2 linked regions of the Drosophila melanogaster genome follow. The protein of the gene in region 1 binds, or shares a complex with, the protein of each later gene. Each region holds a gene or a part of one and is shown in the gene's direction. Other genes may lie near its edges.

Region 1 (8,432 bases):
GTCGGGGGACTACCCTAAGCGAATCTGAATTGTGTGTTTGGCTTATTTATTTGATCTATAAACAAATTGGCCAGAGAGTTTGTTGATATCGCTTGGTAGGGCAGTAGAGCGAAGTATTGCACATGTTTGTTTGGAAATTATGGAAATATAAACATTTTATCTAAAAGCCAATACTCCTTATAGCAAACCAAAGGCAAAATAATAAATTTGTACTAATATATACCATATACCATTCCATTGGCTAGATATATAGATAGATATAAAGATGGAAAGATGGAAAGATATAAAGATATAAAGATATAAAGTTAGAAATATAGATAGTTAGAAAGCTAGAATGGTAGAAAGATAAACAGATAGAAAGGTAGAACGATAAATATATATAAGGATAAATAGATAGAAAGATAGAAATATAGAAAGATATAAAGATAGAAATGTAGATAGTTTGAATGATAGAAAGATATAATGGTAGAAAGATAGAATGGTATAAAGGTAGACAGATAGAAAGATACGTGGCCATATAGCCATATAGCATCTGGTATCTGGCATGGCATCCGGTGTACGAGTATATGTGCAGGCACTAATTGTTGGTCCGGCGAGCGGCGCTCGACGAGAATCGCTCGGGATTCTCGGTCGAAGAGAGAGAGAGAGAGTGAGAGAGAGAGAGAGAGGTGGCGGCCAGCTGAGAGGATGGGTGAGAGGAGGAGAGGGGGCGAGAGGCTGGCGATTGAGGGCCAAAAGCAGAGCACCGTTATTGCCTCAGTTGGACGTGTGTCTGTGTGCGGTGCGGGTGTGCGGAATTTTGGTCTTTCGACCTGGCCAATGTAACAAGTTATCAAGCCAAAGGCACTGCGAAATTCAACTCTCAGCATTCACTGTATTCGGTTCTTGCCTTGTTTATGAGTTCTTTTTTGTTCATTTTTTTTTTGTTTCAAGTGAAACTAGATCAACTGCATGGCAGAAATAAAAAACCATTTAGCTGAAATAGCAAAAAGCAGCCAACTCACACAGACTGGCGAAAATATGTGAATAAAATCGGAATCAGCTCGACAATGGCGATCGCGAAACAAGCGGGCAGACGAGAATTTCGACATCGCTGCGACGCTATTCAATTTTTCTTATTTCCCAAATATGAGTGTCTGAAAAAAAGAGTCAGCTACAGTGGTCACTCGATAATGGACAACGGTGTTTTATAATATTATAGGAATATTTTCAGTGTAGCATCATATTTAACTGATGCTGAAACATTGAATATACTTTACAATTCTGCTAAAATTCTCATAAAAATATTTGCATATTGAAGAATATGCTATTAATATTTGATCAATAGAAGTTAGATACGAAATACCACGCAGCGAGTTACCACTGTACCCATTTTGTTGCAATCGGAAGCGCATTCAACTGCGCCCGTGTGTGTCTGCAATTTTCGTAATTTTTGTTTTTTTTTTTTTTGTTTTTATGATTATACAACAAAATGGGTGCCGTTGAGAAAAAATCCAAAGGAGCCGTGTTCCTCAAACCTTCTCCACTTGTTTTTCTTTCGACTTTCAGATGGTGAATGCAATATAGAATCAAATCAAGTGAACGCGAAGTAAGCAAATAAACGATCTGAGTTTTTTTTTGTGTTGGTGTTGTTGTGTTGTGACGAGGAAAGTACGACATTTCGATGATAGTCGCATTGCAATATAAAGTGCAACATAAATGCTATAGAACCGAATGTGAATGTGAGGAGCCATTGAGCTGTGAAATGTGAAAATCGCAAAGAAATCGAGAGAAAACGCACACGTCAATGTAACCACAAAGCTGCCCCAAGAAAACGAAAAGTAAAATATATAAAGAAATTAAAAAATAAACTAGCAAACTGAAAGCGCAAAATTAAAAAAAAAACAACAAATCTCGAACTTTGTTCGAAAGCCAAAGTATCTAACAAAACAATATTTGTACATAAAACACCATCGAATAGTATATATATATATATACATATATATCAGATATATATACAGATGTGCTGGCGAAACTAAAAGGAGGAGAACTCAAGGAAAAGCCAAAGCGATTTTTCCGCACATTTCCACTCGAAAGCGACTCCAGTAAATTCTCAAAATTGCGACCCACGCTTTTCCCAGTTCGGCGGCGTTGAACCACAATCAAAGCTGCTGCACCACCGCCATTTCCGCTGCCATTTCCACCAGCACCACCATAAATAGTAGCAGAAACACCGCTCACAGAATGCCAGTGAAAAAGCAAGGTAAGCGAAAAATTGCACTTTTATTCACTGCCCACCTTTCCCACCTTTCCCTCCTTCTTCTTCTTTTTTTATTTTCTGTTCTACATATCTGTCTTTGGCATTACGTGGAAATCCATTCAATTGAATGGACCTTATGAATGGTGGACAGTGAAAACTGTTTGCCAGTTTTCAGCAATTGAAAAAGTAGTTTAAAACTTAACACAATGGTTTAAGATCACATTTTACATAATTCTATGCATAACAAATTTAGAAAAATAACCTTAACTATTGTGAAATAAAGTTAGAACCTATTAAAAAAGCTATGTCTATGCAAAACTGCATTGATTTGCTGGTGAAAGTTTTAAGCACCATATAGTATATAGAAAGTTGGCATTAGTTTTTCAATTGTAATTTTAGTAGATCATTTAACTTTTACGTGCTGCGCAAAGTTAGCCAGCAAAGCTGCTTCCAATTACACACGAGATGGCACTTTTGGCCAAACAAACAATGTATCCAACTGTGCATTGGAAGCTATGCAACAAAAAAAAAAAAAAAAAATACATAAAAAACCAGCTAAATTAATGCAGACAAAGAATTTTATTTGATTATGTCACATACAAATCATATTTGGGCAACTCAAATGGCCAACAGAAGAGATGAAATGAAATGGTGCGGAAGGGGGAAGGGGGAGGGGGAAAGAGAGGAGCCGCAGCAGACGGAAAATGGGAAAACCGGGGAAAAGCGCTGCCAGCAGCCTCGCAAATGGTCAGTGAAGGTCAACGTCGGCGTTTGACGCGTGCTGAGGACATCAAACTGCGGCCACAGATACAATGTTCATTTAGATACGAGTATGTATAGTTTGGTTTGTGTGCTCTGTATGTGTGTGTGTGTGCGTGTGTTTTGGGACCATAATGCGACTCGATTATAATAATAAATTATGTGTTTAATTTTTTGGCAAACGCGGCACGAATGACAAGCCAGCGACGGTATGGCACTTGACCCCTGACCTCTTCGCATGGGGACATCAAACTATGCGCAGCAACACACAACTTCGTTGCTATTCAGATTTTCAAGTTAAAGCATTTAGGATGGGGAATTTTAGGCACACACCCTTCATGGAAACAAAAAAACAAAAAAAAAAAAGCGTTAATAACTGGCGTCCGACAAGCGGTGAAAAATGTTTAAAAAGCGTCAATCTTTATTGATTTATCGGCGGTAGCAGCCACCAAACTATAGAACCATAATAGAGCTCAAAAGTCTAGCCAGTTGAGTGCGGCACTTGGGCGCGAAGAGAGGTGTCTTCTTGGCTGGTCCTGGTAATGGATTCGGATACGGACTCGGAGCGGGAGAAGAGCAGCGATCCCAACGAGGGACTGCTCAGTAGCGATGACAAGACATTCCACGACGATGATGAACCGGCGGAGGATTCCTCTCCGGCGGACGATGAGGAGGAGCCCGAGGAGGAGGAGTGCCTGCTGCCGCAGAAGAAGGCACAGATTCGCTGCGACCAAGACCAGCCACCTTTGGTGGTCTTGGTACAGCCGTCGGCGGAAGCCATAGAAGTGCGCCAAGAAATCGATGATACCAATCCGGTGGCAGTAGCTGCCAAAGCTAGCGATATGGATGGGGATTCGCAACTGGAGGTGATGGAACACCAAATGGAGACCGTAACCGAACCGGATCCCGAGCCTCCGAAGTGTCCAACATCCCTGCGCGATAGTGTCCGCGAGTCCGTTGAATGCTTCTATTCCGCCCAGGATCTTCTCGAGTACGGACACATGCTGTCCTCCACTTCGATGGTCCGAACACCGGATGTGGAGTCTGGCTACTTTGAGAAGTCCGAGAGCGATGCTTCGCGCGACGAGTGGGAGGGTCCGTCGTCGTCATCCTCGGGCGCAGCCCGTTGTCGCCTTCTCTCCGGCATTTCCGGACTCTCCGTCTCTTCGTCGAGTCGCCACAGTGCCGAGGGTTTGCGCATGGAACTGAGCCGATTTCGCACCATGATCGAGACTCTCGAGCGGGAAAGTCTCGAGAAATCGCAATCGGAGCTGCAGTTGAAGGCCAAGAGCAAGGCGAAGCCAAAGCCCAAGCAGAGATCCCACGTACAGGATGCGGCTGGGGAAAGTGGTTCGGAACAGGGTTCCGAGAGGGGCTTCTGGTCAACGATCTTCGGCCAGGCGGGTCTGGCGATCAGTCAGGATGAGGAGGAGCGCATTGCGGACATACAGAGTAGGCACTAATCCAGTGGGGAAAAATGGGCAGGCAGAATCCCTTGGTCTTTTGGGTTGATTTCATAATAAAACAATCGAAGATCATTTGTACTAACCATATTCTTTTCTCTATATATTTCAGAAGCTCATCGGGCTCTCGAGCTGCTCGAGGACTACCACGCGAGACTTTCGGAGCCGCAGGATCGGGCGCTGCGTATTGCAATCGAACGCGTTATACGCATATTTAAATCTCGCTTGTTTCAAGCGCTGTTAGGTGAGTAATCGATAATGTATCGATTAAATCGATGAAAATATCCTATATGTATATCTTAGACGCTATTCGCGTCGCTCGTAAGTTTTTGCCTTTAAAAATATCTAAATAATTGCCGCTAGATAAGTGCATTTTTGTGAAATACTTTATTATATAGGTCAGTGTGCTAAATAAGTTTTTCACAAGTTCGTTATAAGCAAGAGCCTTAACCAAGCTCATCATCATCGTCTATTGATTCTGAAACTTTAAACGCAAACAAAGTTGCGAACTTTGTGCCAAGATTGTTAGAAAGTAGTTGATGAGCCGGAAAGAAAGATCCTTGAAAAGTAGTTCTTATCTGTGCAGTTGTCTATCGTCCATTGCCTATCGCCTATCGATTTTCTTGTCCCTCCCCTCGCGTTGCAAATTATTTTCACTTGACAAGCAAGCAGTGAGCACAAAGTAGCAACAAAGGGAATTGCAGCAACAGCGACAGCAAAACGATAATATTGCATAGGATTTGGGTCAAATAGACCAAGCAGCGCAGCGCAATGGAAACAGCAAGCGTCCCATAGTAATGCGGCTAATTCAGCTTGTTTTTTTTTTCTTTACCGACTCTGGTTACTCAAAAGGGTCGATAGACGGCCTGATTAGTGCTCCAGTTGCATCATGGAGTGCATTTTGGTGGCATATGGCGAAGGAGCCATTGATTTTCACTAGCAACTTGTTGGTTTCCCTCATATTACCTATAGTCTCAAGCTTAAGATGAACCTAATTATCACTATAACTAAATACTTTCCTATTAAGAAAAGTTAATTTCCCTGCCATTGTTGCCTTATCATTGTATATTTAAGCAGTTTTTTAAGCCGTTCCCATTTATTGAGACATTTTTGCCCAAGATTTGACAGCTTGTTTTTCTCATTTGACAGTTTTGTCTGGATTAGCTCTTAGCTACTTTTGGATTTTTGGCAGCACTGTTTGCAGTACACTTTTTTTTTTGCTCGCCCATCTTTTCTTTTTTTCAGCAACGTATCCGCCTCTCATCTCTCTCTGTCCATATGTCCATCCATTTCGAGACGGGCGGTTGGTTTGCAGTTGTCTGTTTTGTGGGTCTTGCCTGTTGTATAATTTGCAAAAGTTCTGCTCTACCGCCGTGCTCCATCTCATTCTAGTCCCCTATGGCTCTCTCCCGCTCGCTCCGCGTCTCGCTCTGTGACCCCGTCCCTTTCTATTGGACCCCTGGGTGCAAATTGTGTTGCCCGCTGTCAGTGGCAGTTGCATAATCCTTTTCGTTTCGTTTCGCTTGGGTCCTCTCCCCCTACCTCTTTCCATTCTTCCCATTGTTTTGGTTCTTCTTGTCCCTATTCCTCTTGTTCGGCGTATCCCGCTGGTGCTTCCTCTTCTCCCGTTATCGTTACAGTTTCAGTGGCTGCGCTTGGCGTGTCAGAAATGTTAAACGGCTAACAAGCACACACAAACTCAAATGCAAACAAGCCAAACACGTGACACGTTAGAAAACAGGAGCTTTTGTATGGCCAAACACAAGGGTGGACCTTAACTTAAAAACTCGCAGGGTCGCACTTCGACAGAACATGATCAGTCACGTCGCTCTGCTAGTTTAGAAGGAAAGCTAAACTAAATTGAAGAAGAGAGTTTTTAAACACGATGCCAGTACTTGATTTTTCTTATGATAGATATGGGTCACATGTATTACGATAAAAAGAGTTCACAGCCTTGAAATCAACCCACAGTTAAGGTCCACCCAAGGGAATTTGAGGTGGTGTATGCATGTGTGTGCGTGTGAAATAATTAACAAGGTATTAGCCGCATCCCAAACACCCGAAACGTATGTGTGTGTGTGTGTGTTTTGGGTATAGTATCAAACTTGAGGTTAGATTCCAGTCTCTTTCCGTCTCTTTCCCGCTTTTGTTGAACATATTTGCATTGAATCTGTTATGCTGTAATAACACTGAAAACATTTCAACTGCGTTTGAAAGCACTACTACTGTGCAACCGAATAACACTGCGTATGAGTAATATCGTTGGAAAAACTATGTTTGGGCATCAGAGTTTGATTTTTTTTTGCCATAGTTTTTGGCTTGGTTCTCAGTGTTGCACAGGCACCACAATTGACACTCAAGTTGAAGCGAAGGATAGAGATAAGGATGCGCCAGGGGTTGTGTGCGGGACGGGGGGGGGCAAAAGGTCATGAAGAGCCATGTGCGGGCGAAATCCCAATTTAATTGGCCTAGAATTGGAATCATCTGCAGCACACTTACATTTACATACATACACTAGTGTATATGTTTACGAGTGAGATACGATTGCGGTCAAGCGAATAAAACCACTATACGTGAGATAAACTGTAACAAGCATAAGATATTAATTTTTAAATCTATACGCAGCTTACTATAAGTCAATAAGTTATTTGCTACTTTAAGTTACATAAATTGTGATTGAAATCGCTGCTATTATTATCCCCTGCTATTGTAAATGATACATACATATGTATGCAAATATATTGTGGATACTTTTGAGGGGTCTTATCGATTTCCTGGAATTCCCCACAGCGAGATGAAGATAGAGAGAGATGGTGTAACCTGAAGTTTAGCATCTCTTTTTCAACGGCATTGGCATTCAGCTGAGGCCAGCTAAAAAATGTGGCCGCAATAAAAAATAAAACAAACACAAATACCGATGAAAAACATGCAGAACACAAATTGAAGGCACACAAATAATGGAGGAATGAAAAAAATAACAATGCTTAAAAGGGCATTTTCGGGAAAGCATTCTAAAGCATTCGATAACTCATTTTGAGTTCAAGTGGCCGAATCCATTGCATAACGTGGTACAGTGGTCTCTCGATAAAATACAGGCAATTCTCCATTGAAGATTTACAAATTTTAAGCAACTTCTTGTATATATGCTAAGCTGCTTGTTTAATCGTAGGGCCAACATATATTTTTTTAGGTATCTGAAGCTTGTAATAATGTTCGAAAACGTTTTCGAAAGTTTCGTCTGCTTGATTAATATTAGTAGGGTGTTTCTTTTCAGCTTTGCAAATTTGAAATATTTAGTTTCAAATTGCCTTGCACAGTTCCCCCGGGAAACCTTTAGTTTCCCAGTGAGCTGTACTTTATGTACACACATTTCAATGACTGCGCGTACTTTTCCATGCAATATATTGGTGGCCCAGCAATGCCCCATGGAATTACGTGCTCTCTCTCTCTCTCTCTCTCGTTCTATCCGACCAGCTGTCTCGCTTGCTCTTTTTGGGGCTGCCCTGTTTTGGGGCGCAGGAAATTAAATGGGCGCCATGGATTTCGTTTCAATTTTGCTTCTTTTTTTTTCTCCCTGAAAAGTCGGATTTTAGTTTCCCCCATTTGGGCCACTTGACTGCTGTTGAAGCGAAACATATTGGCAGCAGCATATGGGTATATTGTGTGTTCGTATAAGCACAGCCACACCCCCAACGCCCATTCCCTTCCGCTGTCAGTGGCGGCGTCAGTTTGCATTGAAATGTATGCATTCGAGATGCATTCTGACAGTTTCTGATTTCCGCTTCCCGAGCAAAAGCTGCTCGATGCCTCCTATGGCACTGCACTAAGCCAACAATTAAAGCCCATTTCACACCGACGGACAATGTGAATTTAAAGAAGCTGGCTGGTTTAGTGGAGGATTAAATAATGTAATATCTATGAAACAATTAAGGCGACACTTGATTTTAAAAATGTATGTAAGCATTGAAAAA
Region 2 (7,694 bases), on another chromosome or scaffold:
TGAAACACCGAATTGCGTCTGGGGATTTAGCCGCTTACTGCGCACTTGAAAAATTTGCATTCGCCTTGGAAATTTGGCTTTAATTTTGCACTCGGCTTTGTTTAGTTGCCTTTTATTTCTCCTTCTTTATTCGGGCTTGGAATTTTCGCTGCAGAATTTATTAAAAACCGACTGCGTATGTGTGTATATAAAAGATTTCTATATCTTTTGCAACCGACGACGAAGGCGGCATACGGCAACTGTGGCGATATTTTTTTCCTTCGTCCGACTCTCGCGCTCTCTTTTCGTTTTCGGCTTGCTCTCTCTGGCACATGGGTATATACTATACGCGAGAGGGAGCAGGCACACACAAACGAAAAGCCTGCCTCCAATTGATTAGTATTAGTACTTCGAATAGTATTACTATTGTTATTGTTTTCATCTAGCTGACTTTCAATTGTTTGGTGCTGATATTTAGCTAGATTCCCCAGGTGCGATTACTCATTTGGCTTTTGTTTCGAGACCACTGTGCCAGATTTCTGGGTGAGAGCGTGGTGAGTTTCGTTTCAACTCACCACAGAAACTGTTGTTGCGCGTCGCGCTCTCTATTTAGGCGGCTCTCTCCCACACACGGTCACACTACAGTCCCAAAAATGAATGAAAATACCACAAAATACCATCCAACGCACGGGCACACCGGCGAACTGAAAGACGCCGCTGCTTTCAAGTTTTTCTCCCGTTTTTATTTCCTATCGAGGGCGATAACCAAACAAGGCTATCGTTATCGACCTCTCGCTCGCTCTGTATCCCTCCTTCCCTGTCGCACTCGCTCTCCTTTTGTGTGGCTAATTTTTTCCTTTTAGTCCTTTTTTCGGTTGCCTTCGTGCAGAAATTCCCTGCTTTATGTAATTTAGAACACAATGTTTGCGTTGCACTGTTGGCCGACTGCAGCTGAAAACCGCACAAAAAAAGCGACGCACACACACACCTTCGAGCATCCGGACTTCCAATTTGCACTGCTTTTCTAACAGTCTATCGCGCACGCACTGCCACAATTTCACCCGCTTATCGCGCCGCAATATGGGACGTTCGCTTTTCAATCGATTTTGGTAACCGGCAGGTGCGCTTTATGCGAGAATTACGAATTTTCTCCAGCGGCAACTAGAATCGTTCACACAGACACCGTAGAAGTGACGCCATCTTTGAAGCGATTAGTGTTGCAAAGCGCGTCTGCAAAAGTGCTGGCTACCAACTACGGTTGATAGGGATGAGGGCTATGGCTTGTTGACCGAAAATGATAAATGTTAACTATGCCAATATATTTTAGATTTTACTAATACGTTACAAAAATAAGAAAAGACTATGATAAAATTGTGTTTTAGCTTGGCTCATAAGTATTGATCCTTTATAAGCTATGGTCTTGCAGTGGCTAACATTTCTCAAATTAGGGCAACCATCTGATAAGATTTCTAATTCGAATTCTAATAAATGAATTTAAACTGCTTTTTCTTAAAGTTAAAAAAAAATTAGTTTTAAATCAAACGGCATGCATACATTAACCATCAAACAATGTAATTATATATATAATATTACCAATTGGGCTACTAAATATTGCTGATATGTAAGCTATGGTCATGAGGTAAAGGCATATTATTTATATAATTTTCATAGTATCTTTGTTGTAGGGGAAAAATAACAAGTAATTTAAAATTGTTCAATTGACTTAAAACAAAATATAACAGATATTATTTTTAAATCCAACGACATACCATATAAAGTTGGTATTTCTTTCTAATCTGCTTGGTATTCTCATCGACCCCAATCGGTCACACTGGTCGTGAATCAGAAACGCACTAATTAGTCAAAAAAACGGTACAAAAGATCGCTTAATTGCTGAAATTTCACCTGTCGCAGTTAAGTTTACCCACCAGCAGTTCAAAACCAGCCAGAGGCTAGCTAAAAACCCCAAAGATCGACCCCAAAACATCGCCGCAAAGTGGACAACTCCCAGTTTTCAGAGCACCTGCCCCTCAAAAAGGAGCATCGCGACAAAAAGGCGAGACTTCGCAGCAGAATGTCCTCGCTCTCTGCGTCCGCGGAGAATGTGTCCAGTTTGGGACTGGGATCGGGCGGAGGAGGAACTACTTCCCACGACGGCAACTCCCAGCAGGGTTCCGGATCCGACGGAGGATCCAGTATGTGCCTGGAACTGGCCCTCGAGGGTGAACGCCTCTGCAAGGCGGGTGACTGCCGGGCGGGCGTGGCCTTCTTCCAGGCGGCCATTCAGGCCGGAACCGAGGATCTTCGCACTCTGTCCGCCATCTACTCCCAGCTGGGCAACGCCTACTTCTACCTAGGCGACTACAACAAGGCGATGCAGTACCACAAACACGATCTTACGCTGGCCAAGAGCATGAACGACCGACTGGGCGAGGCCAAGTCCTCTGGCAATCTGGGCAACACCCTCAAGGTAATGGGTCGCTTCGACGAGGCGGCCATCTGTTGCGAGAGGCACCTAACGCTGGCCAGGCAGCTGGGAGATCGTCTGTCCGAGGGACGCGCTCTTTACAACCTAGGAAATGTCTACCACGCCAAGGGCAAGCACTTGGGTCAGAGAAACCCTGGAAAGTTCGGCGACGATGTCAAGGAGGCGCTCACCCGTGCCGTGGAGTTTTACCAGGAGAATCTGAAGCTCATGCGGGATCTGGGTGATCGTGGTGCTCAAGGTCGAGCTTGTGGTAATCTGGGAAATACCTACTACCTACTAGGCGATTTCCAAGCGGCCATTGAGCATCATCAGGAGCGACTGCGCATTGCCAGAGAGTTTGGTGATCGCGCGGCTGAGCGAAGGGCCAACAGTAATCTTGGCAACTCGCACATATTCCTGGGACAATTCGAGGACGCCGCCGAACACTACAAACGCACCTTGGCTTTGGCCGTTGAGTTGGGTGAACGCGAAGTGGAGGCCCAGAGTTGCTACAGCTTGGGCAACACCTACACGTTGCTGCACGAGTTCAACACTGCCATCGAGTATCACAATCGACACTTGGCCATTGCCCAGGAGTTGGGCGATCGAATTGGTGAGGCCAGGGCCTGCTGGTCACTGGGCAATGCCCACTCTGCCATCGGTGGTCATGAGCGGGCCCTAAAGTATGCGGAACAGCATCTTCAACTGGCCAAGGAGCTGCACGACCCGGTGGGTGAAAGCACAGCCAGGGTGAACATCTCCGATCTACGAAAGCTACTCGGAATGCCCGACTCCGAGCCTTCACCCACCGAGGAGGAGGCTCGATCCACCGCCTCCGATCACTCGGCCAGCGGAAATCAGTCGGATGGATCGGAGAACTCGCAAGGAAGAATGGTAAGAGAAACGAGCTGCAACAACATAAAGCAATATGAATGATTCCTGAGATATTTTTAAACAATACTGGCAGTCCGTTTGTTCTATTTTTCGAAGTGGACACCTGCTGCTTGCAGTGTTTGCCCCTTTATGTTAGCGTAAATATTTATACTTTGTACCAAAACACATCGTTAAACTTTCGATTCGAGCACATGCTGAGAAATTGAAACCCCTGAAAGATACATAGCTAAATTTATTACTTTAATTGCTTCCCGTCAGGTGCGCGTTCGTCGCCAGAGCATGGAGCAGTTGGACCTGATCAAGATCACTCCCGATGGAAAGCGCATGCAGGAGGAAAAGCTACGAGCACAGGCGACCAGGAAAGCCAAAGACGACGACTTTTTCGAGATGCTTTCGCGGTCGCAGTCGAAGCGCATGGATGACCAGCGCTGTTCGATCAAGGTGAATCCCGCCGGAGCTCCGGCGGTGGCCACTGGCGCCACGCGTAAGCCGCTTGTGCAGCAGAACTCGTTGTTCGTGGATCCCACCAACCTGCCTGGCCTCAAGTCACCGTCGTCGGCGAATCCATCAGCCATTGGACATGGGCCGCTCGCCAGGAGCGCCACCACTACGCAGCAGCCCGATGATGACTTCCTAGACATGCTTATGCGCTGCCAAGGCTCGCGTCTGGAGGAGCAGCGGTCCGAGTTACCGCGCCCCAATGTCACCATGGACGCAGAGGCGGAGGCACCACCGCGATCCGTCCCAGAGGCTGCTGTTCCAGGGGCACCACGCGGACAGACCGGACGTGGAGCTACCGTCCCCGATGAGGACTTCTTCTCACTGATCATGAAGGTCCAGAGCGGTCGCATGGAGGATCAGCGCGCCTCGATTCCGTTCCGAAATGCCAACAATAACAACAATAGCCGCAGCAACAACAACGGTTCAGCCGGCGGAGCTGGAAAGTAGAGAGTTGTAGTCCAAAAAGCTGAAGTCCAACCAAACAATCCTATAAATCCATCCCTGGCCGCAGCTCCTGACTCATTTCGTTGTAAGCCCATCTTGCGGCCATTTATTCAGTCGTTTATTTTCGGAAATTGGCTGCTAAACATTTTGTTCTTTTACAAGATTTATATATACACACGTACACGAAAAGCATTAATTTATGAATAGCAACTAACCACGTAACCAAATATTAGGGGTGTATAGGGCCTCGTCTACACGAGCAGAGGGAGGAACCTCCAACGGATGCACACACTCATCCACTCATGACTCATTACATACTCCACCATGAGCTGGCCATGATATTGAACGATATGCACTCGAGTCTTACGATATTAACGTTTTAATTGCATGTGCAAGTAGTTTAAGCCGGATAATACTAATGTACTAATCCAATTTGCTCAATAGACGGAACCAAGTCTTCTCTACGATCAACGATCTTACATTCTCGTAGCCACATTCAGCTAAATATTAAGTTTTAAGTCCATCGAACCCACTCTACATGTAAGCAATGCATTTTCCAAATCAAAATCTAACTACAGATATATCCAATTGTAACTATGAGTATTGCATTTTTCTATCAATCTATCGATCGATCTAAACTCTGAACATATTTTAAGCCACTTACAATTTTTGTTAGTATATTAACAAGACACAAAGAATAGCAGCTCGGAATTCCATTTGAGGACCGGCGCTTGTGCAAGCACTTAGCATACGATATACACAACCAATCATACTTACACATATACAAGAAACATATGAACAATATATATATAGTTATACCAATGTCTAACGATTTGCCTCTTCGGGTATTGTTCTACACAATATATACAATACAAGTTATATATACACAAAACAAAAACACAAAACTGAGTTCGAGTTGTACGAAATGAAGCCAAAATTTATTAATGTTATACTTTTTTGTAGCACGAGATCTACGGGATCTGCGAATGAAAGATACCATACAGGCGGACAATTATGTCGTGTATTATTAAATATTAAAATCAAAAAATGTTTGCTGACACGTTCGTGATTTTTATTCCAAGATAAGGGTTTTAGATTCAGATACTTAAAGATCATATCAGTATGTGACAAAAAAAAAAAAAAGACTATTTATTCGACTTTAAAGCTTTATTCATAAATTAATCGTCTTAGGTTGCTAGAACATATGCGATAAGTATTCGAAAGTGGGTTCCCTCTAGTCGCACTCCCCTTTTGGCTTAGTTGGGGCAGAATCAAGGCCTCTGATCTCTTCTCCCCCCTAAAAGTAGATCTTAAATTTGCTCTGTTTTATTTACAAATTGATTTAGATAACTCAACAACGGAATGCCTACGCGGCGAACCCCTTCTTGCTGTCCATGTCGGCGGCCAGCACGAAAATGGGTGCGGAGTAGTCCACAGGCTTGTCGCCTCCTTCGCCCTTCAAATAGGGATTCGCCGCCTTGAGGTTCCGGTTTCGCTTCAGCATGACATAGACCACAAATATGCTGACCAGGAAGGCGGAACTGGTGGCCATTATGAACAGCACCAGCTGGATGGACTCGTCCTGGGCGGTGGCCGCCTGAGCCACTGGGACATGAGCACTGCGGTGCACAAAGTGGGAGCGGGTCAAGTCCGGCCGGAAGTGACCGCCCGCCAGGCGGAAGTCGCCGGCGGAAATTGCCGCCTCGATGGCAAAGGCCAAGTCCACCTTGGCCTCGTTGTGCAGCTCAAAACGGACAATAGCGGATCCATCGAAGTTCTCTTGGACGCGCAAGTTTTCGACGGACTCACCGCCGAGTAGCTGCTGCAGTTCCCGCCGGATGGTGTCGTAGGCATTCCTTATACTCCGGCCACTGCTGTTGGTCAGATGGAGTTCGATGGCCACCGCCTCTATCGGAACATGACTGCAGCGACGATCGCCAGCTCCAAAGACGTGGGTGGACTGTAGCTGGTTGCCGGCCGCATCGACGCACCAGCAACTTCTGCCGTTGCACTGCAGCGGGCGGAAGGCTCCTGCCTCATCGCAACTGACCGGGAATGGTGCCGTTTTCGACAGAGCTCGACAACGTGTGGTCTTCAGCTCCATGGGTTTCAGGGTGGCCTGCTCCACGGATAGCTGAGAGTCCAGCAGTGAGTTCGCCAGCTCTAGTACTCTCTCCGTAACACTGGACTCCGCTGCACTGGCGGTGGCAGGCAGCACCCTAGCCTCCAGCTCATCGAAGTCCAGATCCTCGCTAGCGACATCATTCAGTTGGGTGAGCTGAGCAATCAGTTGCTCCATCAGAGGATCGCCAGAATCGAATGCCTTGCGGTTACGAGCCTGTCGACTATTGCATATGGGTTCGCTCTCCCGGGTGAGGGTTCCCTTTAGAGGAGCACCCTTCTTGTCCGCACACCAGCAAACTCCGGGCGCTTCCTCGCCAGCGGATGCAGCTGGTTCCGATGCAAAGGCGCGACTAACGATCTCCGTGTGCCTGTCCATGGGTTGGGGCTGCTTGCCCAAGCATTGCACGGGACTCCAGTGGCCAGTGACTGGGTCACATCTTGGTTGGAACCAAACTGAGGAGTGTCCTGTTCGCTGGGCAGCCAGGTTGTTCTTGAGCTTCAGGCGCTCGCATTGAGTGAGCACTGGGGACGAGACGAATAAATGGATTAACGAGGAGTTCCAAAACCAAAAGCGGAGGCTACCATCTTACCTGGACACACGGAGTTGCAGGCGAGTTCGTTGTGGAAGAGGTTCTTAGTTTGGCAGGCGGGTGCCTCGGAGTCGATGACCACGGGTAGGCACTTGTTTGCCTTGGGACTGAACCTATAGCGCGTGCTATTTTTCTCCGATTTGCCAGTGGCCAGACAACCATTATCCATGGACTCGAAGCAAACATCACGGGTCTTGGAGCAGCAAACACCACGGTTATTGACCGGATTCAGCTGACAGGAGTGGGTGGTGGGGCACACTTCGTGCTCATTGTGGGGTCCACAGCTCATGTCCAAGTCGCCTTGCTGGAGAGGATTACCCTCGGGACAAATGGAGGCTCTTCGGGGCACACATATGGGCATCTTCGGGCACGGACTGTCCACACATTCCACAGAGATCAATTGGCATTCCTCGTGAGGGGAGCAGCTTACTTCGTTGCAGTAGTTTCTACACTCGCAGGTGGGACAACCATTGGAGTCCATCTGGTAGCCACTCTCGCACTCTAGGCTGCAGTTCGTCTTTGGGCACGCGAAGCTAGAGTTCTCCTGGCATTTGGGTGTTGCTGGAGATTTGACCCTTGTGCCAGGCAGGATTTTACCCTGATCATCCACACACCAGCAGTGACCATCGGGTGAGCACTGGACCTGATTCCATTTGCCATTATTTGGGTCACATTGGGCCACCGCCATTTGCCGG

What was found. Proteins that work in one complex are often made in the same cells at the same time.
Region 2: the proteins of dlg1 (region 1) and pins are in contact, whole or in part, in a crystal structure (PDB 3TVT), measured with the Drosophila melanogaster proteins. Residues at the interface, in NP_996406.1 of Drosophila melanogaster: Cys808, Val809, Pro810, Arg814, Arg817, Arg824, Asp825, Tyr826, Ile839, His842, Phe844, Ile845, Glu846, Ala847, Gly848, Gln849, Tyr850, Tyr855, Ser877, Asn879, Arg883; in NP_524999.2 of Drosophila melanogaster: Arg434 (codon at 3,611), Met437 (codon at 3,620), Gln439 (codon at 3,626), Leu440 (codon at 3,629), Asp441 (codon at 3,632), Leu442 (codon at 3,635), Ile443 (codon at 3,638), Lys444 (codon at 3,641), Ile445 (codon at 3,644), Thr446 (codon at 3,647), Pro447 (codon at 3,650).

Annotation. Positions count from the first base shown.
Region 1 is NC_004354.4:11,372,269-11,380,700, forward strand, and holds the start of dlg1 (discs large 1), read left to right. Parts: upstream 1-3,494; 5' UTR 3,495-3,540; coding exon 3,541-4,450; intron 4,451-4,573; coding exon 4,574-4,705; intron 4,706-8,432. UniProt on the Drosophila melanogaster protein: During embryonic development, some isoforms are essential for proper neuronal differentiation and organization. Required for cell polarity; maintenance of apicobasal polarity.
Region 2 is NT_033777.3:27,581,035-27,588,728, forward strand, and holds pins (partner of inscuteable), read left to right. Parts: upstream 1-1,805; 5' UTR 1,806-2,053; coding exon 2,054-3,340; intron 3,341-3,598; coding exon 3,599-4,288; 3' UTR 4,289-5,342; downstream 5,343-7,694. Other genes in the region: CG5639 (uncharacterized protein), read right to left, coding at 5,652-6,931, 7,000-7,694.